Macaca mulatta: one gene and its partner. Each later gene encodes a partner of the first gene's protein in a complex. Links are inferred from orthologs where the notes say so. Each region holds a gene or a part of one and is shown on either strand. Other genes may lie near its edges.

Region 1 (16,458 bases):
ATCGGACAATAGCCGATCTCAGGCAATTACAGCGTGTCTTGTGTTATTCAGACTTTCCATTGATAAATTACTATAGGCAGAGTTCAGACAGCTCTTCCTAATTAGAGAATAACCTGTCTTTTGGAAAGCTACTTTGTTTGTTTTTCCGTCTGTGAATTGAATTCTCAGAGGATCATCATAGGAAAGGAGATCTCTCTGGTGTAACTTTTGTACTGAATCTGCACTGGACGTTGCTGAGCTCTGTCCCAATGGAAGAAGAATGTCCCAGGAATGAGGAAGCGTGCAGCATGTTCAGGCTGGGTGTGACTTCTGTTCAGGAATGTAGGGGCTGCAATAAGAAGATAGTGTATCAGAAATGAGAGTTGGCACAGATGAAAGCTCTGTTGGAAAGGGTTGGAAGAGAGGGAGCACCTGTGTTTGAAGCCAAGGAGGAAGGAGGGCACATAGAATGGTTCACGCTGGAGAGAAGGAGAGAGACTGAAAGCACTTTTCTGCCTACAGAATTGTTTTTTTAATAGGAAGCCATGACCTTGAGCATGGTTGGAGAGAAGTCTGGGGACTATTGAGGTGCTTAGATGATATGGAAAAGATACTGCGAGACCTGGAACCAGCTAGGTCAGAGATAGGGAGTGAATAGGTGTCAATGGTGATGGACCATAATTCTGTCCAGGAAAAATTGTCATTATTTATGATAAGTCCTCATTCCAGACCACTGTGGTCAGTAGATAAAGGGAGAATGTGTGTCTTTCTAGGTAACTTTTGTTTCTTTTTGCCTTAGTTAATTCTCTTCTTCCAACACCTCTATTCTTCTTCTTCATCCCATCCCCACAATAAAATCTGAGCAGTTTGATGCCCATATCTCAAAACGCAATCCTAAAGTCAAAGAGAGAAGGGGTGTTCCATAGGGGGATAGCTGTAAAGAGAAGGTGAGTCTGGAGGCGCCATCCCTCTCCCATCAACTATAAAACTCCACCTAGTAAACTCCCAACTTGTAAATTCCATTCAGCTTGCAAGATCCAGGAGTAGTAGTAGTACTCCCAAGCAATTATAATGTAAAAGATTAACAAGTGATCCAGGGAACTGAGTCAAACAAAAAAGGTAAGTTAAATAAAAGTTATAAGGCCTGTGGGAGAAAGCTAGCAAAGAAAGGGTCCTCTGGAATTAGGTCCAGAAAATGGTCAGGGTGTTTCTGTGGGTACTGGTTGAAGAAAAGATGAACAGAGGGCAGTGTTGTTTGGAAGAGCAAGTCATTGGTGCAAGATGAATGAGGCCGGTGTGGTGGGGTCCTGCAGCCCCTTTCATCTCAGTAAGTCCCTGTCACATCTCCATCTTCCTTCCATGTCCTGTGCTGCTATAGAAGTTCAACTTCGAGGTTGGAGAACTAGAACCACAGTTCTCTTGGAGAGCTGGGGTATTGTAAACATTCACCCTGCATCTGTCTCTCTCTCCTCAATTCCATTTTGCACATTGCTCCCGGTGTGCTCCTCCTAAAGCCTGTGTCTTGCATTATTACTATAATCTTCCTCCCTCCCCACCTCTACAGACTCCCCTTTTCTACTGAGCACTGTCCACATGAAGTGTAGGGCATTCAAGGTTCTTCGTGCCCTTGACCAAGTCTCCAGTCTTGCCTTTGCACACCTGTTCAGAAGATTTGGAATTCATTGAATAGAGTCAACTGACGCTCTCCTTGATAATTTTCCTTTTATTATTCCAGGCATCATTCTGTCTGCTGCTTCCCCATCTCTGACAATTTAAATCCAATTATTCTTTCTTTAATACTTAATTCAAATGGCACCACCACTCCAAAAGCCTCCTCTGATCACCACTCCACCTTCCTATGGCAGATTTAACAATTACCTTATATCATGGGGACCCGTAATAGTGGGTGAGAAGAGACCATATGAGTGGCGTTTTCATCTTCACCTCAACTTCAACCAGGGCTGCCTGGCTTTTGGCTGGTTAAAATTTTGGGATCTGTTGAAGGACTTTGAGAAACAGTTCCACTGCTTACCAATATATTGAAAATCACTCATGTATAGAATGCCACTTCCTACAAAGAAACAGGCAAACACAAAACACATCATTCCACTGGCTTAAAGCTGCTTTCCTGTAAGGCTTTATAATGCTGGTTTTTCTTCTACGTGCCCTTATCTCATCATCTTGGCCAAGGCACAGCCAGCTGATGGATGTTGATCTGGAAGCACCATTAAGAATAGAGTGAATAGCATCAGCCCTTCCATTCTGTCCATCCTTGTTCCCTTTGAATCCCCCTGAATTGCCATAAGGGCCACACGTGTGTGGCTTGCTCTCTCAGGGGCTCTGAGTCAAGTATTCCACCCCATACGCTTTCTGGTGCCTTTGGAACCGACAGCGTCCTCTAATTAAAGGCAGTGGGTGGTGTGATGACAGGATTAGTATCAGTGTCTGGCTTCCCTAAGGACCAGGGAACACTGTGGCCCAAGTTTTCCCATCTGTGTAACGGGATTGTTCATATGTTTGCGTATCTAGGGGTAAAATCTAAAAGGGGGTGGCGCTTACTTTCTCTGGCTTGCATCTGCTCTGTTTCGGGAAAATTGTGGTGAGGAGCCCCACAGGAAGTGTGTGACTGTTTTGCTTCATTGAAAATATAGAGTGCTATGGCTTTAAATACATTGGTATTCTGCCCCTGGCTTCACTGCAGAATGAACAACAATGATGTTCTGCTGAACATCAATTCCAGACGTTTTAGGAAGGGCTCAGCAGTTTCGTGAGAATGAAGCTGTATTTCTCAAGTGTAATGAGCCAAAAACATCTTGTTTTTATGCAGCACTAGTACAGACCCATGCCCTGGACCTGTAAATGCCTTTTCCGTTCATTGTAGGCTTGGAAGGCGCAGGGTATTCGCTCAGCCTTATCAGCACAAATGTAAAAGGAACATTCTGGCTCAGAGAACTGAGTTGAAATGGATATCAGGGACACAGCTTTTGCCAACTAATTATGGACTGAATGTTCAATCCAGGGTTTGCAATGTGCTGCTACCGAGTGCCTGCCCCGCCAAGAAGAGGGTTTAAAAATGGTCAACTCAGCATAAATTATTTTACAAATCCAATATTTATTTTATCTTGTATGTACAAAAAGTAAACTCCAAGTGAACATCAAATCAAATCTAATCCTTTTGGCCACATGGACTGGTTGTTCTTTATCTCATAGTTACAATGAATCATATAAACTCTAGCCTGCCATCACCATGACACATCTGTGACACAGAAGGAATGTGCTATTTGCCTGTCTGAGGAATGTTAAATAGAGAAAAATAGATCATAAAGCAACCTGGAGGTCAGAGGGTTCTGAGATAATCCCTCTGCTAAAACACATCTGAACAGCAAATGTCCAGTCTGTAATAAAATAGTTAAAGGTCTGAGTCCACTACTACTTGGCCAACCCAGCACAAGAAATCTAACAGCACTTTGTAATCATTTGGCTTTTCTAATTTTCCCAGAGGACATGGGCCACTGACATATAAGGAAAAAAAAAAAAAAACAAAAAAACAAAAACGAAAAATGATTAAGTTGTGTGATCCCTAACCTGTGAGTTCAGAGGAAGATTTTGCAGGGCACCATTATTTCCATAGGAGATTCTGGTAACAGAGATGTCATTTCAAATGTAACATAGCAATGGTGTGTTAGGAGCAACCCATAATGAAATGACTCAGCTGATTTGTGGCAAAACAGACATACCTTGGGTAAGAAATGAAACCAACAATAACATCACACATGCAAAGATTTTTTAAAAATAAATTGAGCTATACAGTTTTATTCTTTTTGCTAAACTGAGTTATTAAAAGGCTTCTTAAGAAACTTAACATCTTTGCACAACTGTGTCACTCAGGTGATCTATCTACAGGTTTGTTATAAACCAGTAAGCATCCTGAGTCCATTTCTTTGCCTGGTGCTTGCATACGCAGTTTTCTCGGAAGGAGGCAACAGTTTCATTAGCATAACTGAGGAGAGAAATCAACTTGTTCTGGTCGCCAAATGTCTTGTGTATATTTTAAAATATAATGTGAGGAAAAGAAGAATCTGTAGTTTGTAAAACTACTATCATTTTAGCATAAGTTTAGCGCTGACCTTTTCAGATCAATCATAAATAATAAATTCTCTCAAGAGAAATATTTCTAGCGGAAATGGGAAAGATGTGAACTAAAGCTATAACCCCTGTACCCTAAATATCAGCCACTTTGGGCTTAGCACTCTTTTGGGGGGTGGTGATAATACTGCATTAGAGTACATATGAATATATACCTTAGTTTACACAGACAGAATATATGACAGTTTTGAGTGATATACATTTGCTTGCTGTATCGTTTCTAATATTATCAGTACAGTCAGTATACAAAATTTTTTTGAGCAATGATAGTGACCTATCATACATGCAGCTTATGCCTTTCTGTGGCAGGATGAACATCAATTTATAAAAATCTTGTGACAAGTTGGAATTCAGCTATAGATCAATTACAGATTGCTCACTGGACAATCAAGGAAATTACTAGAAAACAATTTTCACCACTAGAAATTCATCCACATTGACATTCACCTAAATATCCAGAAGGTCATCCCCACTTTCGTCGCTCTCCACAGTCAGCTGCCGGGTCCACCACTTCTTAACTTCAGAACCGCAGGAAGCCGCGTCAGTCATGGGGTTCATTTTGCACACGACAGATTTCATGGTTGTCCTCCCTCCAAACCGTAAGTTGACTGAGGACACTGAATGGCTTATTGGTTTTGGTGCTGTGGAATTAATGAGTCCTATGAGCCACTTGGTAGTGCTCCACCCTATTGTACTCATTCCTAAAAACCCATGATATTCCCATCAGTGATACTTTTGGCTAACAGGTTCTATCCACAGACGCTAAGTAAACATCCTTTTCAGGACTTGATTCTTTATGTTCACGATAGATTTTTTTTTTTTTTAAATTATGCTCATGGACAACTCATGATGCCACTTGGGGGAAAAAAAGTGCCGTTCACCCCCTTTCATTTTGAAATAATTACAAAAACTAGAAAATGGCTAAAAATTCCAATTTGGGAACTCTTAAGTGTCATAGAAACCTGTGCATTCGTTAGCATATGCAATAAAGAAAAAAACAAAAAGGAAGGAGACTGTGACCCACAGTGAAGGCGAGGAGGGATGCAGTGAGGGCACAGGAGGAAAGGTGTGGTTCTGGGGCCTCACAGTCATGGTCTTGGGACCCACCTCTGTAACCTGTGGATATGTAACTATGGGCAACTTCATCTCTCTGAATCCAAGTTTCCTCCATTGTAAGATGAAGACAATGAAAATGTCCTAATTACACTATTGTCAGGATTAAAACAGGTTACATGAGATGACTTAAGAAAGTGCATAGCATGACACCTGGTGACATTGTTGCTGCCCCCTCAAAATACTATTTTTCTTCCCCTCTGCCTCCCCAAACTCAGCCTGACCCCAAGATCATGTCTATTTCATGATCACAGTTTTTGGTGGGGACCACCTAGGCATGGACCAGTGGAAGTTTTGTTTTTTTGGTTTTTTTTTTTTTTTTTTTTTGAGACAGGTTCTCTCTCTCTCTCTCTCTCACCCAGACTGGAGTGCAGTGGCACAATCTTGGTTCACCACAACCTCTGCCTCCCAGGCTCAAGCGATTCTCCTGCCTCAGCCTCCCAAGTAGCTAGGATTACAGGTACGCACCACTACTGGTCAGGTCAGCTAATTTTTGTATTTTTAGTAGAGACAGGGTTTCACCATGTTGGCCAGGCTGGTCTTGAACTCCAGACCTCAAATGATCCACCTGCCTCGGCCTCCCAAAGTGCTGGGATCACAGGGGTGAACCACTGCGCCCGGCCCAATGGAAGTACTTTTGACAGCATCATTTCTTTTGTCCATTTAAATGAATACCAAGGACTGTGCATTCTCCCCAGGTCACCTCTCCTATCTGTCCCTGCAGCATCTGGCCCCCAGCTCTGTCCATGCCCTTGTTGCCTCATGCTCACACAGTGGTAACTTCCTCCAGCTTGTAACCTGCCTCCAGGCTCTGCTGTGGACAATTCGTCCTTTGGTGCCAAGTCAACGTCCTAAAGCATAGATTCCAAAAATCACATATGCTCAGAGATCTTTGCTAGGTCCTAATTGCCTCCAGGATAAAACTGAACCTAGTCAGCTTGTAGTTGAAGGCTTTTTTTGACCTGGTACCACCATCTGCTTTGTCTTGATGCTGTCATTCTCTGCTGTGTTTGAATCAGGAGGAACCTACATCTTCTCTGATCTCTGAAAAATAAATTCTTGAATATGAAAGGGGATACTTTCCTTGGTGGTAGTCCCAGTGAAGATCCACGGAACATCGTCAGCCTCAAAATGTAAGCTGTGCTGTCATCCGCTTTGTGGAACACATATGCTACACAACTAACTTCGATTGGGCTGACGTTGGGGCACAGCTAAAGATCATTATAAGCTCCTGCTTTAGCATGAAGTTAGTTATCTATAGAGAAAAACATGTACAAGGACACTGGGCTGTGGGGAACACTGCTCTCCCTCCATTCCTGAGTGCTTTTAATGGGATTATCCTGGCTGTCCAAAACCCTATACAGAAGAAGCTCATAGAAGAAAATTCTCTGACTGAATCAGTAAAATATGGAAAATAATGGGTTTATTAAAGGAAAGGATTGAATGAGAGAACACAAGTAATGCACTTAGGAGAGTGACTGGCATACAGTGAGTACCACATGTTTTTTGTTGTTTTGTTACTGTACGGAGGTAAAGCAGCTTGCCTAAAGCCAGTGACCAGCTCAGCTGCAAAGTGTTCTGAGACAAATAGGGGGCCTGTCCCTTTTTGGAGAACTTGGTGGCATTTTCTGAATGAGTGCATCTGCCCACTCCCTCTTCAATTAAATACATTTTGCCCATGTTTGGGCATGCCTTGAGGCACACAGAAAGCCCTTGGAAATCTCTCCCTCTTTCTGAATCTTGGCTTTTTCATAGGTGCTGGCTTCTCAACCACGATAGCCTGAAATGTACCCAGAAAATGGGGGCTAATGTAAGTCATATTTAGAGAAGTTATTTTTGGGGGCAGTGTTTTTGACAAGACTACATTTTTCATTATGTTGCTGTCTGTAAACAACTGTAGATGCAGACGTGCATTTTGAAAGGCAAGACCCAAAACACACAAACAGAGTAAATACCTCTCAAATGCCTCGATCGCTGGAGAAATGCCTGGATGTACCCACCTGAGGGCAGACGCCACTGCCCAAACTTCCTCTGGGGTTTCCCTGCGTCGGCGGCATCTTGCCGACTTCCTCCTCGATCTGACAGTGTGGGGCTCAGGAGCTGCTGCTGGCTGCTTGTCTGCATGGGAGGAGAAGCATGCAGTTACTGTCTTTCTCAACCCTGTGCTCTCCTCCTTTTACTATAAGAAAGGAAAACACATGGCAGGAGGACAAGCGGGAAGAACAACATGGACTCAGAATGTCCATAATGGGGAAAAGGGAACACGGGTATAAAGGGTCACAGAAGCAAAAGAGCTACCACTGCACGTCGTGCTGAAGGGGACACCGCTCTTCCCAGGAAACCCCCACTGCCTCAGTCCCCTCCGTGCCTGAGAATGTCATTGTTTCCCTTCATATCTTTGCTGGCAAATCAGGGGGCAAGGACGGGACACTGAAGGAAGGAAGGTGGGGCCGTGGGGACCGGCTGGACAGGGGAAGTCTACTTTCACCAGCCTGGAGATCCACACTTAGAGCCTCAGGGAAAGAGTTCTCTTCAGGCAAAGCTGTATGATGGGCCCTGGCGGAGGATGGAGCCGGTAACAATCTAAGCTAAAGTCAAAGAGAGATGCCAAGACATCCCACACATTTCACCCGTTCTCGGGTTCACCTGTCACCTCTCCCTTTTCTAAAAGCCTTGGTCTTCACATCTCTTTGATATCCCCTCTTGGATTTTTGTGTGTGTGTGTTTGTGTGTGTGTGTGTGTGTGTGTGTGTGTGTGTGTGTGACCTCTTAGGCTTTTTCATCTAAAAACAGAGGCCTCTACAATCGTCACTTTCCCCGGCCTCATTGGCCCTGTCTCACTGTCTTTCCTGACCTCAGCCTGCCTCCCTCCCCCATGCGAGACATTGCCAACCATCTTCAGGGTGACCAGTGGCAAGACCACTGTAGATGCCTCACCTTGCCCCTTGGTTGACTAACTCTACAGAAATCCCTGCAGTCGGTGGCAGATAATTTCTAAAGGCTGGGGAGCCCAAAACATGAAATCTACTGAAAACTGGGCTATGGCACCAGTGGGCCTCCTGGAGCACCCTGCTGGGCCATGGAGCCTTAGGCTTCCAAAGGTACTCCCGGCCCCTGGCTGCAGTGCTGCACTTCACGGAGCCTGGTGCTCTTGGGGCTCTGCACAGAGTACAGGATCAGCTCCACGTTGTTAACCTCAAATTGTAACTGCTGCCTCATAAAGGGGCAGGTCCTCCCAGGCAGCTGCTTCTCACAGCACAGGACTCTCCAGGACACTGATAACTCCCTCTACTTTTTAAAATAGACACATACATCAAGTTTGAAAATGAAAATATGCCGTGACCTAATAAATAAAAACTCCGCAAGCCAACTGTCCTGAATTCCATATGTTCTTCTGATACCCAACCAAGAAAGGATACATCTTCAATGAGTCTGATTAAGGAGGTTGAAAGCCAATTACAAACATTTTCACTGATTCTACCACAAATTTCTATGACTTTAGTGAGGACAGGAAAACATTTAGGGCAGAGTTTCATGTAAACCATACTCCATGTAATATTTCCAGATTAAAATGCAGCCCTTAGATCTGATGTTCACTCTTTAGACAAAAATAAAACTACAGAATTACAAAGTTCAGGGCATTAGCTGTTTTTTGGCATTCATATGAATCAGAATATTTTTAAATAACCTCAACTACATCCAAGATGGCAAAGACACAGACGTAATCTGGATCAATGGATTTCCATTGTCTTTTTTTTTTTTAATGAAAATATTCCTATTAGAAATATTGTCACCTTGTTTGAATGATGTGACCAGCACCCATTTTATTTATTTTTATTAAAAGAAAGAAGCCCACGGAGTGTCCTGGGATGGAGGACGCCTCGTGCCCATACCTCGGGTTGCATGCTGTTGTCCTGACTGTTGGCATTCGTGTCTTCACTGGGCTGGGTGGTCTCAATGCTGGGCGGGTTCAGAAACCGGCTGAGCTCTTGCTGCTGACTCTCTCTCAGGCTGTGGATGATACTGCATGACTGCTGCTGTTTCTATGGAAATGCGATTGTTTGTTTAGTAAAATAAACCCAGCATCGCACCTGCCCCACCGCCACACAAATCATATTTTCTTCTCCCCTCTCCTAAGACCCGCATGATTGGTGACCTCTTAGGAATTTCCAGGTAAAGATCCTGAACTAATTTCAACGTTCAATTAAGGTAGGCTGATGCAAAAGTGGGCTTAGAGAGGTATGTGTTGACTTCTCAGTCCATTTTCATTTGTGTAACAATAGGAATAGTGACGGTCATTGATGCTTGTGTTTTATTTATGTTTGTTTTTTGTTGTTGGTGTTTTCTGTTTTTTTGTTGTTTTTTTGAGATGGGATCTATGTCTACTATGTCCCATAGACTAGAGTTCAGTGGTGTGATTATTATAGCTCACTGTAACCTTAAACTCCTAGGCTCAAGCTATGCTCCTGCCTCAGCCTTCTGAGAAGCTGAGACTAAAAGTGTGCATGACTGTGGCCGGCTAATTAATTAATTATTTTTTTCCCAGAGAGGAGGTCTCACTCTGTTGCCCCAGCTAGTCTCAAACTTCTGGTCTTAAGCCATCCTCCTGCCTCAGTCTCCCGATGTGCTGGGATTACAGGCATGAGATACTGCCCAGCTTGTATCTTATTTAAAATTACTAATGTAGCTATTCTATTTTTTCTCCTCTTATTTTATTCTAGGCTCATTAAGCCAATACAACCCCAACCCCTTTCCCACTTTCCTGCAAATTGTAAGAGGCAAAGTGCCTCGGGTGGATGAGAAAACCTTCGTGCTTGTCTTGGTTCTGAAGTTTCCAGGCCGATCCAGGAGACCAATCTGTCTTGGCATATACAAAAGCCAGGGCTCCTTGTGCCCTCTCAGAGCTAGAGGAGGACAGATTGATCCCTGGAGCTAACATAGCTACAGTGGCCAGCAGTGACGGGACATCACTGGGAAGCTGGCCTTGCTATAGGAGGTTGAGTTGTATCTTTTCTCTGGGAACCTTTTCTCTTCCAATAGAAATACATGTTTCTGCAATTGATGTTGCTCTGAGGAAGAAGATTGAAACAATCGCTGTTACATATAAATGTTTAGTGATTGCTTTGCGTTTTTTTACCCGTCCGTGAAACATGCCAAAAGCATTCATAAAGGTAATTATCTCATAGAGACATTCACTGTAAACAAAGTATATGCCAACGCAGTATACATTCATTAATTTATGAGTTAGAGAATCTTATAGGCTTATAACTCAGGAAGCAGGAAACATCATTAATCTTGAGAGGTGGTCTTTTCAGAATAAACAACATTATCACAGTTTGTTGAAATTTTTAGCAGCAATTTAAAGTAGTTTTGCAAATTCAACGTGGAAAATTCTAGAATTTTGTACAGTGGAGTTTAATAAATGGACATCATATTTTAATATTAATAAACTTTTTTTTTTTTTGAGACGGAGTTTCACTGTGTCACCCAGGCTAGAGTGCAGTGGCACGATCTCCGCTCACTGCAACTTCTGCCTCCCAGGTTCAAGTGATTCTCATGCCTCAGCCTCCTGAGTAGTAGGGATTACAGGCATGTGTGCCATGCCCGGTTAATTTTTGTATTTTTAGTAGAGATGGGATTTCGCCATGTTGGCAGGTTGGTCTCCAACTCCTGGCCTCAAGTGAGTTGAGCTCCCCCCTTGACCTCCCAAAGTACTGGGATTACAGGTATGAGCCACTGCGCCTGGCCAATAAACTGCTTTTTAAGTGTTCATGTCATATTATAAAAATGGGATTCCATGGAAACTCCTAATGGACTCTGCTACAGAGGGCAGGGCTGACTGTGGACCAGAGTGAAAGTCTGCATCAAGATCTGACCACTGTAAGTGGAGGTAGTGGACATAGTTTAAAGGGATAGAAGGCCGATCACAGAAGGAGCTAATCCCATGTTCATGAAGCTCTTTTCTTTTGTCCTCCTACTTCCGGGCGGGGCAGGGCGGGGACCCAACCTGCATGTGTGCAGTTAGTTCACTTACGGCTCTGATGCGCTTCAGGCACTTCTTGAGCCACATGCGGATGGTCTGCTTGGCCACCTCCTCCTCTATGGTGTACTCCAGCTGCTCCCTCGCCAGGAGCTCCTCCAGCTGCAAGCTCTTCCGGATGTCCACGGACCGGTATGAAAGCATGCTGGTGGGGGGAACACACCCGCAATCGCAGCTCTGATTTACCTGAGATTTACACCTTTAGATATGTCAAAATCCAGAGAGGACATCACTCCGTCTAACAAGTCTAGCGTTTGATGCCACCCCTCACCACCCATGTGTCTTGGGCGGGTCCTGTCACCTCTCTGTGTCTCATAAAGATAGTCCTGGTAACTTCTTTATTTAATGACTAAGTAAGTTAATATCTGTGAGGCTCTTATAGCAGTGCCATCTAAGTACCTGTAAAACAAAAGATCCAGGCTAGGTAAAGACTCAGGACTTTCTCTGCAGAAGGGAGACTGTGCCTCGAATACTTTCTTCACACTTAACCCCACGTGGTGATGGTTAATATGCTTGGCTGTGCATCACACCTTCCTACCCACTGCATTCCATTTCCCTCTCTGTTTATCTCATTCATCCTTCTGTATCTTCCTTATTAATTTTTTTTTTTTTTTTGAGATGGAGCTTCGCTCTTGTTGCCCAGGCTGGAGTGTAAAGTGCGATCTCAGCTCGCTGCAACCTCCGCCTCCTGGATTCAAGCATTTCTCCTGCCTCAGCCTCCCAAGTAGCTGGGATTACAGGTATGTGCCACCACGCCCAGCTAATTTTGTATTTTTAGTAGAGATAAGGTTTCACCATGTTGGTCAGATTGGTCTTACACTCCTGACCTCAAATGATCCGCCTGCCTCAGCCTCCCAAAGAGCTGGGACTACAGGTGTGAGCCACCACACCTGGCCTTCTTTATTGATTTTAGAGGCTACAAAACAAACCCAGGGTTGAATATCCACTCCCTTTTAACCCTCGACACACAACAGGCCCATGCAGTGGTAGATGAAGCCAACACAGCAGATGTTTTGCATCGCGGGTCACGGGGCAGTAAGGCAGCTCCCAGGATGCCTGGACTGAGCAGTCCACCACCACAGGAGAAGACAGGCCCTCTTGGCAGTGTGATGCACCCAGGTGTAACCACAGGATTCCAGGTTATGGTTCAGACCTATGCACCCTGGTGCACCTGTGCGCTACCCGCTTCTGTGAGCTCATTTCTACCCTAGAGCCCAAAGCACAGCATGGAGGCTCTTGAGAGCACTGGTACAGTGGACTTCTGTTCTTTGCTGAATCTCTTCCCACCACAGAGGGAACAAAATGAATTTTCTCTTCCCTGACTCATCAAGAATCTCATCAAAGCTTCACTGCTTTTATCTTCACTGTTTTTATCATATACTGGGCTAGGGGAATAAATAGGAAGGGGAGAAACAGCCCCACCATTGATTTTGCCTGGGTCTATTTTTATTAGATACACCAGTGTGTTCCAAAGAGGCTGAATATTAACTATTAATGACCACAGTATGCCTATCTGCCTCATGTCAACCTAAAAAAATTTGTCACTAGGAGGAGACTCAGAAACATTCTGACAGAGATGACATCCTCTGTGATTCATATGCATTTCTCCGTCCCATCTTTTTCTGCTTTTTAGCTTGTTCGTGGAAGAACTGAATAGTGGGAGGTGAAATTGATAACTCGTGAGAACTTTTCCCAGATTCTTCCTGTGATGATCTGATCTTTTTTTTTTTTCTAGCTTCTGGCCACAAGCATATTTCTGTACACCTGAGTTCTCCTGAAATTTGAGACACAACACAGTACCCCACGCACTACTGGTAGGTACTGCTATGTGATTAAAATAGCTACTGCTAGTCAATCGCTCTTATTTTTTCTGTGGCACGGGCCCCTGTGGCAGTGCAGCTTATGGGACATTTCTTAAAATAATGCTTTAGATGCACAGAATGAAATATACAGTATTACAAAGGAAACCAATTATATTAAAATACAATTCTCAAATTACTTTAAAACAGCAGTGATATAGTAACATAAGTGCTTCTTTATTATTCCATTAAATAATACCATCTAGCAGAGCTCAAATGACTACCCTAACTCAGAAGCACTGGTGAGCATAAATGATATTGTAAGATGTCAGCCAAGGCAGTCAGTTATGTAACCTGAAAATATCTATGATTTCTCCTGGTAACAAAGACATGGATATTACTAATGTGACTGTGGTTTGTTGCCTACATTCATCATGGAAGAGAATGCCGCATTTCAAAGACCGACTAGTGAAAATAAAGATGTAATTGTTTCCCTTTGCAAGTCCATGGGCCTCTGTTTTATCCATGGACTCCTGCTTAAGAAGCTGTTATGGGTTAAATGTTTCCTCCCAAAGAAAGAAGTGTTGGAGTCCTAACCTCTAGTACCTCAGAATGTAATGTTATTTGGAAAAAGAATATTGCAGATGTAATTAGTAATTAAGTTAAAATGAGATCACAGTGGAGTAGGATGGACTCCTAATGTAATATGACAGATGTTCTTATAAAAGGAGAAATTTGAATATAGATACATACACACACACACACAGAATGCCATGTGAAGATGAAGGGAGACCAGGCTGATGCTTCAACAAGCCAAGCAATGCCCAACATTGGCAGCACACCCCCCGCAGCCAGGGGAGAGGCTGGGCCAGATTCTCCCTCACAGGCCTCAGAAGGAACTAGCCCTGCAATACCTCCATCTCGGGCTTCCAGCATCCAGGACTTCGAGACCATACCTTTCTGTTGTTTAAGCCCCTCAGCTTAAGGTACCAAGTTACAGTAGCCCAAGGAAACAAATACAGAAGTCTCCCAGGGAGAAGAAAAGGCAGAGACTCCATTTGACCCTCTGTCCTGTCTGGGTGCTCATGAAATGTGTGGAAAATCTGGTGTTTTAGCCAATGGGGCAACCATCACAGAGCAGGTCAGGCGAATTCTTATCAGACCTGTGCAAGTGAGGCACTCTACGTGTTAGTCCCAGCTTTGCCAGAGCCCTGTAACCACAAGCAAGTCATTCAGCTCTTCCGGGCAGCTCCCACATCATAGGGAAGGGGTGGGACTGTGCTCTCCCAGATCCCTTCAACCTCTTCCCTCAGGGAGCACCTCCGTGGGCAGGGGCCCCTGTGGGACGTCAGGGCATGGCTGCCCAGCCCTCCCCTGCGAGGCACCTACTTGGAAATGATCACTGGAGGGCAGCGGGAAAGGGCACTTAGCACCTGGGACATGTGACCCCGCTTCACGACCACAGCAGATGTGGCATTTGGGTTGGAAACACACTGCAGAGGCCTTGAAGGCTGACGGCTGTAGTTTCTGGCCCCGTTCAGCCCTGCAAAAGCCTGCCTTGTACCTCAGGACGTCGTGGAAGGTGACGTCGCCACCGTTGTGGAGCCTCTCCATTTCGTAGCACATGTGCTTAAACAGGAGCTTGTCCTTGTCCAGGTCCACCTCCAGCCTCCCACGCAGCAGCCGCAGCAGGAACTTGACACGGAATGTGGGGATCACCCCCTGTGTGGCAGAGCACAAGCAGCAGCAAATCATCATCAGGCCTCAGTGATGCACTTGGGTTTCTCAAAAAAAAAAAAAAAAAAAAAAAAAAAAAGGTGCTATTTCTCAAAAGCTAGCATAATTAGCACCAGATGTGAAGAAAGCTGGTCACCTCCTTGGAGCCTGGTGGAATTAAGTGCACTGAGAAGAGCAGAGGATGGAAAACTGAGTGATAAATTTCTCTCTCTGGGATGCCACCACATTGCAGCATTTGGAGTGAGGCATGGGAAGCTCCCCCTCAGCCCCCCAGGACACTGCTGTTGCCCTCACCAGGCTGATGCTCATGTGGCCTGTCTCACGGACTCTGCCTCCAATGCATGCACTGAGTGGGTCATAATGCACTCACACAAGGTAATGGACAAGACACAGACATGTAATCCTCCTCTTCACTCAATCTGGATGCTAGGAATGTCTCAATGTTTATTGGAAGTTTTCCTACCACTAAAAGATAACTTGTGGTGGATCATGCCTGTAATCTCAGCATGAGGTGGGTGGACCACCTGAGGTCAGGAGTTCGAGATCAGCCTGGCCAACATGGTGAAACCTAGTCTCTACTAAAAATACAAAAATTACCCAGATGCAGTGGTGCGTGCCTATAGTCCCAGCTACTCGGGAGGCTGAGGCTGGAGAATCACTCGAACCCAGGAGTCAGAGGTTGCAGTTAGCCGAGATTGTACCACTGCACTCCAGCCTGGGGACAGAGTGGGACTCCATCTCAAAAAGAAAAAAAAAAAAGAGATAACTCCTTTTCATGTCTTCTTCAGGATTAGAAAAACTATATACAAGAGAATTTGGCCCCCAGCTCTGCCCTCTTCTGGGTCAGAACTGATCCAGACACTGAGAATCTAAGATGTGTTGCTACCTCCCACGCAACACAAACCACCATGCCCCCCTGGCTGGATCTTTGAATGAAAGTGCTGGGCAGAACACTAGTGAGCATGAGTGCCTGCCAGTTACTGACATCTCAGTGTGCAGGGTAGTGTGTTCTTCATGTGTGTATTACATTAAAGCAGGGTGACAGTTATGGAGAGACAGGTGGGTCCTGAGGAGCTGAGAGCGAGGTCAGATCCCCTGCACGCAGGGCACACACTATCTTGAAAGCCCTTGAGACTGGAGCCTGGGTGGGCGGGGGTACCAAGAAGAGGGATAAAATCGGGGTGAGGGCACTGACAGGGCCCCTCATTTATGACGCCCATGCTGGCTCCTTGGTCTTTGTGCCCTTCATCAACTCTTCTTGAACTATTTCCAGATCTCTCTTCCAAATACTCTGGCAGAACCTTCCTTGTGTTGTTCAGACATAATGTCCCACAGCACCCCTCAGGCCTCCTTCATGGCCATTCCTGCCGGTGCAGCCCAACCCCAACTACTGTCTATAGTTTTAACTTCTGGAAATACTGCTACTAATTATTATTTCACTTTTTATTATTTGTCTCCACCTATTAGAATGTAAACTCTGTGAGTACAGGAGCTGTTCCATCTTGTTCATTGCTATATCCTCAGTGCCTAGAACTGTGCCTGAGTGTTTGCTAGGATGAGGAAGAGAGAAGAGGAGGAGGAGGAGGAACAGGAGGAAGTGGAGAAGAAGGAGGTGGGGGAAGAGGAGGTAGAGGTAGAGGAGAA
Region 2 (16,935 bases), about 6.0 Mb from region 1:
GGGGTTTTCTAAATATACAATCATGTCATCTGCAAACAGGGACAATTTGACTTCTTCTTTTCCTAACTGAATACCCTTTATTTCTTTCTCTTGCCTGATTGCCCTAGCCAGAACTTCCAACACTATGTTGAATAGGAATGGTGAGAGAGGGCATCCCTGTCTTGTGCCAGTTTTCAAAGGGAATTTTTCCAGTTTTTGCCCATTCAGTATGATATTGGTTGTGGGTTTGTCATAAATAGCTCTTATTATTTTGAGATACGTTCCATCAATGCTGAATTTATTGAGCATCTTTAGCATGAAGGGCTGTTGAATTTTGTCAAAGGACTTTTCTGCATCTATTGAGATAATCATGTGGTTTTTGTCTTTGGTTCTGTTTATATGCTGGATTATGTTTATTGATTTGCGTATGTTGAACCAGCCTTGCATCCCAGGGATGAAGCCCACTTGATCATGGTGGATAAGCTTTTTGATGTGCTGCTGAATCTGGTTTGCCAGTATTTTATTGAGGATTTTTGCATCAATGCTCATCAGGGATATTGGTCTAAAATTCTCTTTTTTTGTTGTGTCTCTGCCAGGCTTTGGTATCAGGATGATGTTGGCCTCATAAATTGAGTTAGGGAGGATTCTCTCTTTTTCTATTGATTGGAATAGTTTCAGAAGGAATGGTACCAGCTCCTTCTTGTACCTCTGGTAGAATTCAGCTGTGAATCCATCTGGTCCTGGACTTTTTTTGGTTGGTAGGCTATTAATTATTGCCTCAATTTCAGAGCCTGCTATTGGTCTATTCAGGGATTCAGCTTCTTCCTAGTTTAGTCTTGGGAGAGTGTAAGTGTCCAGGAAATTATCCATTTCTTCTAGATTTTCTAGTTTATTTGTGTAGAGGTGTTTATAGTATTCTCTGCTGGTAGTTTGTATTTCTGTGGGGTCGGTGGTGATCTCCCCTTTATCATTTTTTATTGCGTCTATTTGATTCTTCTCTCTTTTCTTCTTTATTAGTCTTGCTAGCAGTCTATCAATTTTGTTGATCTTTTCAAAAAACCAACTCCTGGATTCATTGATTTTTTGGAGGGTTTTTTGTGTCTCTATCTCCTTCAGTTCTGCTCTGATCTTAGTTATTTCTTGTCTTCTGCTAGCTTTTGAATGTGTTTGCTCTTGCTTCTCTAGTTCTTTTAATTGTGATGTTAGAGTGTCAATTTTAGATCTTTCCAGCTTTCTCTTGTGGATATTTAGTGCTATAAATTTCCCTCTACACACTGCTTTAAATGTGTCCCAGAGATTTTCTGGTATGTTGTATCTTTGTTCTCATTGGTTTCAAAGAACATCTTGATGTCTGCCTTCATTTCGTTATGTACCCAGTAGTCATTCAGGAGCAGGTTATTCAGTTTCCATGTAGTTGAGCGGTTTTGATTGAGTTTCTTAGTCCTGAGTTCTAGTTTGATTGCACTGTGGTCTGAGAGACAGTTTGTTATAATTTCTGTTCTTGTACATTTGCTGAGGAGTGCTTTACTTCCAATTCTGTCGTCAATTTTGGAATAAGTGTGATGTGGTGCTGAGAAGAATGTATATTCTGTTGATTTGGGGTGGAGAGTTCTGTAGATGTCTATTAGGTCTTCTTGCTGCAGAGATGAGTTCAATTCCTGGATATCCTTGTTAACTTTCTGTCTCATTGATCTGTCTAATGTCGACAGTGGGGTGTCAAAGTCTCCCATTATTATTGTATGGGAGTCTAAGTCTCTTTGTAAGTCTCTAAGGACTTGCTTTATGAATCTGGGTGCTCCTGTATTGGGTGCATATATATTTAGGATCGTTAGCTCTTCCTGTTGAATTGATCCCTTTACCATTATGTAATGGCCTTCTTTGTGTCCTTTGATCTTTGATGATTTAAAGTCTGTTTTATCAGAGACTAGTATTGCAACCCCTGCTTTTTTTGTTCTCCATTTGCTTGGTAGATCTTCCTCCATCCCTTTATTTTGAGCCTATGTATGTCTCTGCATGTGAGATGGGACTCCTGAATACAGCAGACTGATGGGTCTTGACTCTTTATCCAGTTTGCCAGTTTGTGTCTTTTAATTGGAGCATTTAGTCCATTTACATTTAAGGTTAATGTTGTTATGTGTGAACTTGATCCTGCCATTATGATATTAACTGGTTATTTTGCTCGTTAGTTGATGCAGTTTCTTCCTAGCCTCGATGGTCTTTACATTTTGGCATGTTTTTGCAATGGCTGGTACCGGTTTTTCCTTTCCATGTTTAGTGCTTCCTTCAGGGTCTCTTGTAAGGCAGGCCTGGTGGTGACACAATCTCTAAGCATTTGCTTATCTGTAAAGGATTTTATTTCTCCTTCACTTATGAAACTTAGTTTGGCTGGATATGAAATTCTGAGTTGAAAATTCTTTTCTTTAAGAATGTTGAATATTGGCCCCAACTCTCTTCTGACTTGGAGAGTTTCTGCCGAGAGATGTGCTGTTAGTCTGATGGGCTTCCCTTTGTGGGTAACCCGACCTTTCTCTCTGGCTGCCCTTAAGATGTTTTCCTTCATTTCAACTTTGGTGAATCTGGCAATTATGTGTCTTGGAGTTGCTCTTCTCGAGGAGTATCTTTGTGGCATTCTCTGTATTTCCTGAATTTGAATGTTGGCCTGCCATACTAGGTTGGGGAAGTTCTCCTGGATGATATCCTGAAGAGTGTTTTCCAAGTTGGTTCCATTTTCCCCCTCACTTTCAGGCACCCCAATCAGACGTAGATTTGGTCTTGTTACATAATCCCATACTTCGTGCAGGCTTTGTTCATTTCTTTTTCTTCTTTTTTCTTTAGATTTCTCTTCTCGCTTCATTTCATTCATTTGATCCTCAATTGCTGATACTCTTTCTTCCAATTGATCGAGTCGGTTACTGAAGCTTGTGCATTTGTCACATATTTCTCGTGTCATGGTTTTCATCTCTGTCAGTTCGTTTATGGCCTTCTCTGCATTAATTATTCTAGTTATCAATTCTTCCACTCTTTTTTCAAGATTTTTAGTTTCTTTGTGCTGGGTACGTAATTCCTCCTTTAGCTCTGAGAAGTTGGATGGACTGAAGCCTTCTTCTCTCATCTCGTCAAAGTCATTCTCCATCCAGCTTTGATCCGTTGCTGGCAATGAGCTGCGTTCCTTTGCAAGGGGAGATGCACTCTGATTTTTTGAATTTCCAGCTTTTCTGCCCGGCTTTTTCCCCATCTTTGTGATTTTATCTGCCTCTGGTCTTTGATGATGGTGAGGTACTGATGGGATTTTGGTGTGAATGTCCTTCCTGTTTGTTAGTTTTCCTTCTGACAGTCAGGACCCTCAGCTGTAGGTCTGTTGGAGATTGCTTGAGGCCCACTCCAGACCCTGTTTGCGTGGGTATCAGCAGCAGAGGCTGCAGAAGATAGAATATTGCTGAACAGCGAGTGTACCTGTCTGATTCTTGCTTTGGAAGCTTCCTCTCAGGGGCGTACTCCACCGTGTGAGGTGTGGGGTGTCGGTCTGCCCCTAGTGGGGGATGTCTCCCAGTTAGGCTACTCAGGGGTCAGGGTCCCACTTGAGCAGGCAGTCTGTCCGTTCTCAGATCTCAACCTCCATGTTGGGAGATCCACTGCTCTCTTCAAACTGTCAGACAGAGTCGTTTGCGTCTGCAGAGGTTTCTGCTGCTTTTTGTTGTTGTTGTTGTTGTTTAGCTATGCCCTGTCCTCAGAGGTGGAGTCTACAGAGACAGGCAGGCCTCCTTGAGCTGCTGTGAGCTCCACCCCATTTGAGCTTCCCAGCGAGTTTGTTTACCTACTTAAGCCTCAGCAATGGCGGGCGCCCCTCCCCTAGTCTCGCTGCTGCCTTGCTGTTAGATCGCAGACTGCTGTGCTAGCAATGAGGAAGGCTCCGTGGGCGTGGGACCCGCCTGGCCAGGTGTGGGATATAATCTCCTGGTGTGCCCGTTTGCTAAGAACCTTGGTAAAGTGCAGTATTGGGGTGAGAGTTACCCGATTTTCCAGGTGCTGTGTGTCTCAGTTCCCCTGGCTAGGAAAAGGGATTCCCTTCCCCCTTGCGCTTTCCAGGTGAGGAGATGCCTCACCCTGCTTCAGCTCTTGCTGGTCGGGCTGCAGTCCCTGACCATCACTGATTATCCGGCATTCCCTAGTGAGATGAACCCGGTACCTCAGTTGATAATGCAGAAATCACCTGTCTTCTGTGTCGCTTGCACTGGCAGCTGGAGACTGGAGCTGTTCCTATTCGGCCATCTTGCTCCGTCCCCAATTTAAACATTTTCATAAGTTTAAAATTACTATAGTGTTTTTTAAGGAATTCAGAGGCATCAAACATTTATATATATTTTTTGATCTATGAGTGGCTTAACAACCACTTTGAAGTTGCATCAGTAGTTCTAGTACCACTGTAGATCAATTTACACTTTATATAGAACCACCTCTATTTGTGTAGATGCCTCTAACGTTTGCTTGTCAGTAGTAGCCTTTTGGGAGAGGACATCAAAAGAGGCCAATGCTGTTTATATTAAAAGTCATCAGAGCTCACTTTAGTTCTGTAATATATGTTAACACTTTCAAACTGTGTTGAAAAATCCATTGACGGTCAGTCTGCTAGATTAAGGATGTGAGGTGTTGTTAAAAAATACGTAATTAAGAGATAAGCCAAATTCAGAAACTCTGAACAACTTCCAGGAGCAGTCCCTATGAGCAAGCCAATCCAGTTTCACTTTGTGAATGAATAGTCACGATAACTAACTACTACTGAGCACCTGTTGTGTCCAGGCACATTTATATTATTTATCTCTCTTAAGCCTCCAATGTTGCTACGAAGTACACTTCTCGCATGGTGTCATGTACAAATACATCATTGACCTCCCTGTGTCACCTGGAGCCAAAGCTCATACCCAAACCATGGCTTTGCCCTAAGAACCTGTGCCTTTTCTCCACATTAAAAATAAAAATTAAAAATCTATATTTTATTGAAATATTCCCATAGACCCTCTTCTCCTTTACCTCCAAAATATTGAACAACACAGCAAAGTCATGGAACAAAATGTAACATGACAAACAAACTCTGAGACATTCGCTAGATCTTCCTGACGGTTTTGATTTTTTCATTTAAGATTGAGTGATTTTACAAATATCTTGGAGTATGGAGAAAATCCATTCAACTCTTCAAGTGTGTCTGAGACCTATGGATCCCACCTTGCCTCCGAGCCAGCTTGAGTAATTTGTAATCAGAAGATGCTTGAGTTCCATCATTTGCATTACTTACCTGTGTGGCCCGGGACAAAATAACCAAGTGATTTTCTTCTGAGTTTAATCTGAATGTCTTGTGTGCAGTAAACATAACCCTGAAGTACAGTATCTCAAGAATGAAAACCATAGTTCATACTTTGTTTCATGCCTTAACTTTTATTCCAAGGCTAAGAAGATTATCTGTACATTTTCTAATTATTTGGAGAATTTCTAGAATTTGTAGCAGAGTTTCATAGTTTTTATAAATGTCATGAAGACATTGCTTGAAAACTATATTTAGTTTTTTTCCTTCTCCCCACTGAAAGTCTTTTTATTCATCATCACCCAATACCTACCTGCTATATTAGGTTTTTTATAAACATGGCTAAAGCTTGGAAGATGGAGATTCTGGGTGTTTCAAAATTGTGATTTCCTCATTAATGGAGACATTTTGAGAGTCTGTTTCCCATGTCAAAGTAGGTATGGTTTTTAAATGATCATGCTGCTCTAACTTTGACAAACAAGTAGGATCATTCATCATTATGGTATACATGTGTTGTTACGGACTACATAATGTTTTAGTTGAAGTTTTATTTGCAAGCAATGTGTGTATGTGTGTGTGTGTGTGTGTATATATACATACATATATATATATACATACATATATATACACACACACCATGGTATATAACCCTATCTCCTCATATATGCATATGTATACTTATGAAATTAAATACCTGGCTGGGTGCGGTGGCTCACGCCTGTAATCCCAGCACTTTGAAAGGCCTAATTGGCGGATCACCTGAGGTTAGGAGTTCAAGACCAGCCTGGCCAACATGGCAACACCCCGTCTCTACTAAAAATACACAAATTAGCCAGGCATGGTGACACAAGCCTGTAGTCCCAGCTACTCGGAAGGCTTGAGGCAGGAGAATTGCTTGAACCCAGGAAGCGGAGGTTGCAGTGAGCAGAGATCTTGCCACTGCACTCCAGCCTGAGCAACAGAGCAAGTTCCCATCTAAAAAAAAAAAAAAAAAAGAAAAAGAAAAAACAAACAGAAAAGAAATGAAATACCTGACTGCAGTTCTAAATAAGACAAAATGCAGCTTTCAGTTCTCTGTTGATTTAATGCTTTGAGTAGCAAGAACATTGTAAATTTCATTGTTAGTGAGAAATAATGTAAATCATGCTTCAGATTGATTAACGTTTTTGACATTGTTCAGATATCAAATGCCATATGCCAGTTCAGGTATTTGGCACATGGGTCTGGCATCCAATTGCTTATTTCATTTACTTTTTTTCCCCCGGAAAAATTATGTACTTATTCATTCATATAAAACCTCCTTTCCCCCTCATTCCCTGCCTCTATCCCTCCCTTCTTCCCTCCCTCCCTCACTCCTTTCTTTCCTTCCTTCCTTTCCTGTCATTCTTTTGTTTCTGCTATCTGCCTATTTTCTTTTGTTTTAACTACTACAGGTTCTAGTACTTAAGGTACCAAGTTATTAGTAAGAAACCAAATTACTTTTTGTAATGATGCCATTCAAAAGAACAACTTTCACTTACTGTCTTGTGAGAGAGGGGAAAAGTACTATCCTTTTAATGCGAGAAAAGTTCAGTATAATGTATCACCAAATGTAAATGCAATAAAGAATGACATTGAACTCTATGTTATTTGCCATTTAGCTTAGCAGTACCAACATATTCCAGAAACTGAAATTTCTCGATTGCAGATAAAAAGAATAAACACAGGGAAATCTATGCCACACATTTATGAAACAAATATTGTTTTCTTGGTTTTCAATTTGCTTGCAGAAATAATTATTTTAATATTGTAGTTCACTATCCAGTATACGGTAGACATCCTCTACAGGAAAAACTAAACAAGATGATTACAAAGGAGCAGGGGCTGAACTTATTCAAAATGAACATGTGCACAACCTTAAGCATGCTCAAGTGTGTGCCAGGAAAACTACTACGAAGAATGAATGGATGTGGTGAAATCTGCATCATCAGTGATTGTTTCTGAGCTTGGGAAAGGAGTTGTTGCCTATTTGGATCCTCTGGCTGACCCCAGAAGAAGCTGCTCTGCTTCAACATGTCCAATGGAAATATTGTGAGAAAGTGGTTACACACTTACAATAATAGATACTACGCACTGAAATCATTCTCCTGTAATAGAACAGATGAACATGACAAGAAAAAGATTCCGCCAGCATCAGAGACTGTTCCAACGCTGGGTGACTTGATACGGAGAAAGGATTCATTCCCCTTCTCTCCTTACTGTTCCTTCCTCACCTAAATTATCACTTTATATTTACGATGAAGCCTGCAGTGTTTCTCCCAACTTTCAAAACTGTTTTGGGGGGCGTACCTCTTATGGAAAGTAATGGTGGTTTTCGTTTTCCAGCTTTTGGTTGGCACTATCTCCAAACAAACGCTAAAACACGGGTAAGTGGAACCTTCTGATCCTCTTGTATTTGTAAAGAACTTTAGTCAGTTCAAAATATATTGAGAAAATGAAAACCTATCTTTCAAGGAATACTGTTTTTCATCATTTTGCTAAGTGTTTAGAAAGAATACTTTATTGTCATGCCAATAAAAGTGAGTGAATTCGCATTTGCTTTGTCATCTTCCGGCAAGATTGGAAACGCCTGCGGCACAGGGAGAAGCAGCATGAGGAACGCTGAAGACATGGTGAGACGGCATGTGGAGTGGCCTTAGCACAGCAGAGGTAGATAAAGGTCAGAACAGACTCTTTCCTGGCCATTCACCTAGAGGTCATCTGAATAAAATCACCCTGTGAGCTCTTCCTCAGGAATCTCTTGCAGCCTCAATCCCTCTGCTTCTTGTCCGCCCAGCACCACTGGAATCTGCATTCCGCCACTGGTTAGGGATACCAAAGTGCTCATTTCTACAAGTGTTTCATAGTCAACGATTCCATGCAATTAATGTGTCTCCCCCGAGCCATTCACTTCCTCGGCTTGTGTCCCCAGAAAAGCACGATGTTTCCATAAATTAAAATATGCCTATGTGTATGTGTCTGTCCACATGTAATGTTTTTGCATTTGCAGAAAAAAAAAATTTTAAAAGAACAAAAACGGGGAGAATGTTGCATTTTTGGTGTTTTTTTTTTTTTTTGTATTTGCGCAGACCATTTTAGGATTTTCAGTCTCAACAAAACACTATTAAAACAAAGAATCTAGTAAAATATTGTGCATGTACTGCTAAACAATTCTAGCAATTTTATTAAGCAATACCTTTATTATTTTTGAATATTCTTAACAGACTGGAACAAAACATTTTTTTTCAAAACAAAATATGCATACTGTACGCATGTTGCAGGGTTAAGTATGATGCAGAGGTTAAAGTCTGTTTGAACAAAAACAAATGCCCAGGGAAATTTCATAGCTATAAAGTTAATAACTAAATTTTGTTCGCTAAGAGGACCTTTTCTATGGATTTCCTTCATCTCTCAGTCACACTGCAAACTTATCTGAAGTGCACTTCCCAAGTGTAGTTAGAGAATAGGAAGGAATGTAAAATGTTTTTTTTTAATTATTTGTTTTGTTTGTTTGTTTTTTAAAAACAGCCCTTATTAACTCTTCCTTCCACTGATTCTACTGTAAACTCATAAAAGCCTTTTATAGAAAGCAAATTCATATACACTCAGCAGGTGAAATGTTCCCACAAAGAAAAAAAAAATACAGAGTGATCAGACCTCTTTTCCTCAACTACCTAGAGCATGTTAGAGTGATAAAGTTTTTGCACATTAATAAAAATGGCTGAACTATTTATTTTTTTAAAAAGAAGTTGTTCCTCTGTGATAATGCAGAATTGCATACACTGTATACCTGGAATAATTTTAAACCATATGTTAGGGAAATACTGGAATAAAATTGTATATATTCTGTATATTGCAGGTGTTTGAGCATTTCTAGTGTCTCTTCCACAACAATAAGGGAGGAAAAGAAGTCCAGATATGTGTCCGCAATCCCTTTGTTCCCTGTAATTACAATGGCCAAAATGTGCTCGTATATTACTGCAACAGAACTGAAATCACAATGAAAGCCCACCTCCATTGTCAAAGGAAAAAACTTCCTCACTCCCTGCATCCTGATTCTAGATAGCTGCTCCTGTCCAACTGGACCAGCAAGAAAGGGCTGGGCCACTTGGGGATGGGAACTGGAGCAATACAGTTCATGATAGTGTTTTTTTTTAATTTTTTTCCTTTTATTTAGTTTTCAACATAAAAATGTGTTAACTGTCTGATTCCACCTATTATGGAGAGCACTTGTTTGTTCAGCTAAAAAGGAACTCCTGCCAGGCCCCCTTGGCTCCGCTCTGGTTTGGGTTTGTGCAACAGGGGCTCAGAGGCCCACCAAGTGTGCACACCCGTTCACTGTGGTTACACAGACAGAAGCAAGCGGATGTTGTTTGCTTAGGGGACGAGAAGAGGGCGAGGGAAAGGAAAGGCCGGGAAGGGTATTGGTTCTGTGGGTAGAAGGGAGACTTAGGGATTTTTTTTATTTTTATTTTTTGTTGTTTTCTTTTTTTTGTCTTTTTTATTTTTTATTCTTTTTTTGTTGTTGTTTTTTGCTATACCATGAGGTCATAGCAATCATTCCTCTAATAGAAACTGACAGGACATAAAGACAGAACTATCTGATGAACACACACAATGACTAGAAATATAGAGAGATAGAGACAGTGAAAAGACTTAGTTTACCTCTGAGAAACCATCCCCCAAAATAAATCCTGCATTAACAAGTGCAAAAAATAAACAAACAAATAAACCCAAACCAAAACGAAAGCAAATAAAACCTCCAAACATTAAAACACAGTGTATAAAATGGTGTGAGAAATTTAAAGTCACTTTCCAGCCTTTTAGTCAATAAAAAGCTGTGGTTGTGTCCTTGTTTGGATTCAGGCCCATCTGTTTAAATTTTACCCTAAAGGCCTTGCAATAAGTAATTCGAGGGTAAAAGCACCCAGTTTCTGTTACATGAGACAGCAGTTGCCATTTTTCATGGCGGGCCAGCTGCTGCTGTGGTGACACTCGTCCTTCCGTTACTCCTCATTAGTTGAGTTTTCTTCCAGCGTGTTGATGCCTCCAAAGCTCAGTCCGGCTGTATTCTGTGCTGCCGAGGCTGTGAGCACTGTGTGTAAGAGAATCAGTACAAGAACACACAGCTTGAGTCTGCTGTTGCACAGTCTTGTTGCTGATGACACTGTGAGCGATGTCCTGTGACAGGAGTCACTTTTCTCTACGGTCCCTTTGGATGGGTTATTTGATTTTTCTTCTCTCCTGACGTCACAGCATTCTGGTTCATCATTGGTTAGAAAGGTTTCATAAAGCCCTGTAGGAAGAAGGAAGCAGAGTGTCAGCAGGAAGGAAATATATTTGCGACATAGTAGAGTGAAGCTGTTGCTTTAACATTCTAACCCACACAACCTTACAGGCAATTAGACTTTTTTTAAAGGAAAATCAAGTCAATACAATTGGATAAAGAGTCACCCATGTTCTCAAACCAGTATTGTTAGATTCCTCAAGTTGTTCTTTTATATTCCTGCCAGTCATACCATGAAAGTTCTGGGTTGTTGGGAATACAGAATAGAAGATTTCATTAAGTCAAAGTCAGAACTTGAGGTTCTGGATCAACCTGGAGATCAAGTACATGCAACCATCCTTTCTTCTTTAACAGGAATGTGACCAATTTATGCAATGCATAAACTGACATTAGCTAGTTATGCTGAGTGAAATAAGCAACAGATCATCATGTCATAGCTCTAGGAACCATGTTATCATCGTTTCCTCTCAGAAGCCTCATCAAGTCTTCTCTCTCCCTGTCTGGGAGAATGGGCAAAACCATCTATGTGTCCAATGGTGATCGGGTCATTTTGATTTATTTTCTAAACATTTCTCTTATTTTTCTCCATCTTCTCCATTTGCTTTCTATAGAAGTCTGCCTGAATTGAGGCTTCCTTATCTTTTGCTTGGACCATCACGAAGGAGTCTCTCTGCTGTTCGTCTTCTCATTTGATCTGTCCTCCAATTGTGCCTATCAGGAATTGTCTGTCTCTGCTTCTCTTGTTCTCTCTTCACTTTATTCCTCCTTGCTGAAACTCTTCCTTCCCTTTTTCTCTTCTTCCTCTGATAACACACATTGTTATTTTAAAATTGACAGATGCACATTTTAAAACTTTGGAAGTAGTGAAAAGAATAAAACCACGGTGTATCTACAATCTTTCCAATCCTTTACCTTGCTGTATTACATAGAATATTTTTATGCAAGCTGTATAAATCATTGTGTATTTTTTTTTTCTACTTGACTGAACCATTTATTCGTGGGTGTTAGAATGAACTTTCTAGACAAATTTTGTCATATTAATGTCATGCTTGAAAAACAAAAATGGGGATAATAGTAGAGTAGTTGTAAGGATTACATGAGATTTTTCATGTAATATGCTTGGTTCAGTGGCTAGCACATAGAAATAACATGAAAATTTGGGCTACTGTGAATAACAATAGTTATCAATGGTATCTCATTGCTTCAACCTAAACAATAAAATCTAAAGGTCTCTCCTCTCTCTCCAGGCTCACTGCTCAATGTTCCCACATTCCTGAAGCACTGGCTCGTCCCAGAGCACCCAAGCCTGTATCACTAGCCAAGTCACTGTTTTTTTCTAAAATGTCCTCCATCAATTCCTCTACATACTTCTCATTTATCTTCCAAATGTAGTTCAAGTGAAACTCCCTGTATGAAGCTTGTACTCATACCCCTGGGCTATTAGCATTTTGCTTAACCCTTAATTATAGCAATTATTGTTATTTTTCTTTTAATCACAATTGCTCATTTTAATTTCAATTTTCTTATCTGTCAATTTAAAAGCATAAACTATACATTCTTAGTTTTGCATTCTCATGTAGCAGAACGCCTGAACAAAATACTTAATGAGCATTTATTACATGAATAAACTCAGTATACCTATTTATTTAATTAAAAAGAATCTCAAATAATATACATTCAATCTTCGGTTTCTTTTAAAGAAATGAACAAGATATCCTTATAATGATGCTTACAATATTCATTTCTTCTTAGGCATTCAAAGGTAAACTTCACCTTCGCCTAGGTAGAATATAAAAAAAAAAAACTGAATTAATGAGGTCTTCAGCTCTGACATTTTTATTGTATGATATTTTCTTTTTTCATATAAGATATCTCAGTGGTAGACTAATCATTTATTGAAATATACGTTTCCAATACTACATACTATAACAAAAGGAGTTTACAATAAGATTATAAAAATAGAAATCTAGAAGTCCTTTAGATCAACATTTTAGAATGCTAATAATCAGAATATATTTAACAACGTTATGTAAATAAGAAGCTCTTCCAAAGTTGCTCAGAAACTGGTTTGCTGATTTACAACTAAAGTCATCGCAGAAAAAAAATAGAAGCACTTCATTCAGGCCAATAAATGAACCCTTCTTTTTGTCTGGCACAATTAATATTCTTTCTTTTTTCTCTCCTGTCCATCTTTTTAACAAGTTTTTACTCAAACTTATGAATAACACATCTATATTAAGATAAAATAATTCCAGAGTATTTTATAAAATAACAAAAAATCCTCCACCTCCCACATCTCAAATTCTTCTTTCTCAAAGGCAAATATTTCCATATCTTTCAGCTGCTTTGTATTTAGCTCCTTTTCTGAGAATAACATGTTTTATGCTCTTCTTGATTTTTCATTTTTTAGCATTATCTGTAGATTCCCCTCAGGAAATGTGGAGATAAAACATTTATTCTCCTCCTCCTTCCAGCAAATATGCTTCCCACCAAACCCTCACCCATTCCTCCATAAATAGTAACTTTGATACCTGCTGTTGCCTTTACAGTATTAGGATGACATAAATGTAATTCTTAGTTCAACCATGTAGTAAAGTCCAATTTTCTATCCCTGTACCGCTTCATTTTTTTTCTACAGATAATACTTGTCTTGTTATGTTCCCTTTTCTAACTAATTCAACCCAAATGCATTGCCAGTTTTTTCATTTGCATCAGGTGTTCTATCAGTTCTTTTCTGAAGAAATATCTCTTGGAGCCTCCCACCGTCTGGACTGGTTGCCATCATGCCTGATGAGTTTCTACCGCTCTGTGCATTGCAGTGCTGGATCCCCTGTTCCCTGTATCCTGTGCCTCATCCCCTTCTTTCTCCTTTTGGGGGTTTACAACCTCTAATGCCTTCAGTAGGAAAAGCTCATGAGGTGAATTTCCAAGATGCCATATGCCTTAAAATGTGTTTATTCTACCTCACATTTAATTGATTATTTGGCTGGGTATGGAATTCTAATTTAGAAATGATCATTCTTCAGATTTATTCAATCACTGGTCCTACGTTTGGCTGTTGGACCTTCAGAACTTGTCCTTTAATTTTCTTACCTCTGCTGTTAATATTTCATATTACTTCATCCCTTAACTCTAGTTTCAGGAGAATTTGGTGAGTTTTCACGGGACATAATTTCACTGAATTTTGCTTTTTTCCCTGGGACTAAGTTCCAAGAGTTCCTTCGTGTTATCTGAATGTTGCTTTTTGAAGCAACTGTTCTTATTTTGTGGTGACCATGTTGATGTTTTTTTCACTCTGAGATATCTGAGATATTTGGGGTACCCTTATTTGTTGTGTTTCATTCCATCTCTGAATAAATTCCCTCCATTTTCTCTGTGTTGCCACCTTTTGTGTTTGTTTGTCTCTTGTTCTTCTCATGGAAACACCATGCATTTCTAGTTGTCTGCACAAAATGAAAAGGACAGGAAGTCTGGGCACCTAAGGAGGACTGTGGCCGGTGAGCCGCACTGTGAGATGACATGCCTGAACGGTTAGGATGGAGAAACTTTTTTATTTTATTTTATTTTATTTTTTGAGATGGAGTCTCTCTCTGTCGCCACGCTAGAATGCAGTGGCGCCATCTTGGCTCACTGCAACTTCCGCCTCCCGGGTTCAAGTGATTCTCCTGCCTCAGCATCCGGAGTAGGTGGGACCACAGGCTCCCACCAATATGCCTGGCTAATTTTTTTGTATTTTTAGTAGAGATAGGGTTTCACCATGTTGGCCAGGATGGTCTAGATCTCTTGACCTGGTGATCTACCGCCTTGGCCTCCCAAAGTGCTGGGATTACAGGCGGGTGCCACCGTGCCTGGCCAGCATGGAGAAACTTTTAAAATTCTGTCTTTAGGTTGATCAGACTCCCCAGAAAAGTCTATCCAATATCCATCCAGGAAGCAGAAGGCCAGGGAGCAGGAGGGAGCAGCAAGATGGGGCTGGGGGAGTCTCAGCTTCAGGGTGGGGGTGTGCATTGGATCCTGGTGGTCAGGGTGGTCCCCTGCCCTGAACTCCTCCTACTGTTGCTCATACCAACAACCTTTTCTATGTCACCTCAAAAAGAAAAAGTTTCCTCCAGAAAGAAATATGCCCCCAGTCTCTGGGATGGGAATACGGAATGGGATTTGGGGACCTGACTGCCTCTTAAAACTGACTTCCACTCAGTCTTCCTTATTTTGCCTTTTCTTCCATTGTATCTCGTGTTGTCAATCCCTGAGTCTGGATGTAAATCGGACTGACTCTGTTTCCTCTCTGTTGCTTCATATTACTTTTCCTAAGTTTCAGCAAATCTGTTAGTATGCATCGACTTTCTAATTTCTAAGAGGTTTTAATTATTATCTCCTTACCTATTCTTCGATTCTTTTGGATTTAAGCCATAAAACAATCTTTTTGGTTGGGACTGCCTAGAAAATTTTCCAGCTCTTTTTTCTACATCATTCTTCTCTGCCTTGAATTCTGACAGATGCCTTTTTCTCTGTCAAATGCATTTCTGAGTACGCAAGGACATGCAGCCTTCTAAGGCCATTATTTCTTTGACTTACATAGAGTCACTGGGTCACTTAAGCAGATCAATGACCTCCTTGGGACCTGGGGGCACAGACTCCTCCTGTTCGGAGTGCTATCTACAGAGGGTTTCACCCTGCATGCCTCCCAGACACTGCCGTTGGTTGAAGTCAGCAGCCTTGACCTATTTCTCAGGCCCTGGGCAGCCTCCAAACAAGGGAGGGGTCCCAAGGCTGTGCCCACTTGACTGAAGTCAAGACATCTCTCAAGGGCCATCCCAGCTTCAGATTTTTTCCCTCTACCAAATTTCTCCTTCTTCACCCCATCATAGGTAGCATGCCTGAGAGTTCTCCTCCAAAAACCACCTGCACACAGATAACCTGCTGGGGCAAATCTCCTAGGAAATTTTCCACCTACCTACAGAAACGACTTTTTCCTCAGCATTGAAGAAACTATAAAAACATATTTCCAAGTAAAAATAATTTCTCAAACAAGAACCTCCTTGCACAAACAAGTACAATTGCACAAATTAGCATTAGGAAAAAACAAAAGCAAATTTTCTGGGTGGTGAAATGTTCTGATACATTTTGCTTATAAGCTGTTCTATTTGAAATCTCTAGTGAATCAGTTTGACATTACAGTACCAACCTCACAGAGATTTTTTCTTTTTGAGAATTAAATAATACACATAAATTGTTTAGAACAGTGCATGGCAGGTAAGAAAATCTCACATAATATTAATGACTCATGTTGTAAGTAGAGATAAATAGTAAAATCAGAATTTATTATCAGGGGAATTCCTACCTAGAGGAATCAGACAAGAGAAAGAAGGGCATCCAGTTTGACTTATTGGAAAAGAATAAGTCAAATTATTCTTTGTTGCAGATGATATGATTTTGTTTTTAAATTTATTTAAATTTATTTTTATTTTTCTTATATTAATTATCATCCAGCCCCAAATGTCACAATTTTATATATGGGAAAAACTAAAAACTCCACCAAAAAACTGCTAGAACTAATAAACAAATTCAGTAAAGTTACAGGATACAAAATTGACATACAAAATTCAGTAACATTTCTATATGTCATCAGTGAACAATCTGAAAAAGAAATCAAGAAAGCAATGCCATGTATGATAGCTACAAATAAAATACCTACGAATTAACCAAAAAAGTGAAAGATCTCTACAGTAAAAACTATGCAACACTGATGAAAGAAATTAAAGAGGACACAAAAAAATGGAAAGATATTCCATGTTCATGGATTGGAAGAATCAGTATTGTTAAAATGTCCATGCTACCCAAAGCAAGCTACAGATTCAATGCAATCCCTGTAAAAAATATTAGGTTGGTGCAACAGTAATTGCAGTAATACCAATAATGTTCTTCACAGAAATAAAACAAATAATTCTAATATTTATATGGAAACACAAAAGGCCCAGAATAGCCAAAGTTATCTTTAGCAAAAGGAACAAAACTAGAGGAATAACATTATCTGACTTCAAATTGTACTGCAGAGGTACAGTAACCAAAATAGCATGATATTAACATAAAAACAGACACATAGACCAATGGAACAGAATAGAGAACCCAGAAACAAATCCATACATCTACAGTGTAGTCATTTTTGACAAAGGTGGCAAGTACATAAGTTGGGGGAAAGGACAGTCTCTTAAATAAATGGTGCCAGGAAAACTAGATATCCATATGCAGAAGAATGAAACTAGACTCCTATTTCTTGCCATATACGAAAATGAAATCAAAGTGATTTAAAGACTTAAGGGGCCAGGTGCTGTGGCTCACACCTGTAACCCTAGCA

The links.
Region 2: the proteins of NALCN (region 1) and NALF1 are in contact, whole or in part, in a cryo-EM structure (PDB 7CM3), measured with the Homo sapiens proteins. The link is inferred for Macaca mulatta from reciprocal best matches to the Homo sapiens genes NALCN and NALF1. Residues at the interface, in NP_001337678.1 of Homo sapiens: Cys207, Val209, Asn220, Leu222, Ala223, Ile224, Pro225, Thr227, Tyr237, Pro240, Phe243, Tyr406, Glu409, Phe909, Ala1044, Lys1045, Asn1047, Pro1049, Arg1054, Ile1060, Arg1062, Ile1063, Asn1064, Val1065, Ser1066, Lys1069, Lys1080, Lys1081, Gly1083, Phe1084; in NP_001073865.1 of Homo sapiens: Lys278, Glu281, Phe282, Val285, His287, Lys288, Tyr289, Leu290, Gln291, Glu294, Tyr295, Ser296, Val297, Lys298, Ser299, Tyr308, Trp311, Leu312, Gln315, Leu335, Gln338, Thr339, Cys341, Phe343, Ile344, Leu345, Pro346, Asp347, Asn348, Asp349.

The regions. Positions count from the first base shown.
Region 1 is NC_133422.1:95,724,900-95,741,357, forward strand, and holds the end of NALCN (sodium leak channel NALCN), read right to left. Parts: intron 14,800-16,458; coding exon 14,642-14,799; intron 13,093-14,641; exon of another isoform or gene 13,014-13,092; intron 12,019-13,013; exon of another isoform or gene 11,897-12,018; intron 11,424-11,896; coding exon 11,273-11,423; intron 9,282-11,272; coding exon 9,132-9,281; intron 7,357-9,131; coding exon 7,239-7,356; intron 4,767-7,238; coding exon 4,573-4,766; 3' UTR 3,075-4,572; downstream 1-3,074. UniProt on the Homo sapiens protein: Voltage-gated ion channel responsible for the resting Na(+) permeability that controls neuronal excitability. NALCN channel functions as a multi-protein complex, which consists at least of NALCN, NALF1, UNC79 and UNC80.
Region 2 is NC_133422.1:101,700,148-101,717,082, forward strand, and holds the end of NALF1 (NALCN channel auxiliary factor 1), read right to left. Parts: intron 10,590-16,935; coding exon 10,300-10,589; 3' UTR 8,474-10,299; downstream 1-8,473. UniProt on the Homo sapiens protein: Auxillary component of the NALCN sodium channel complex, a channel that regulates the resting membrane potential and controls neuronal excitability.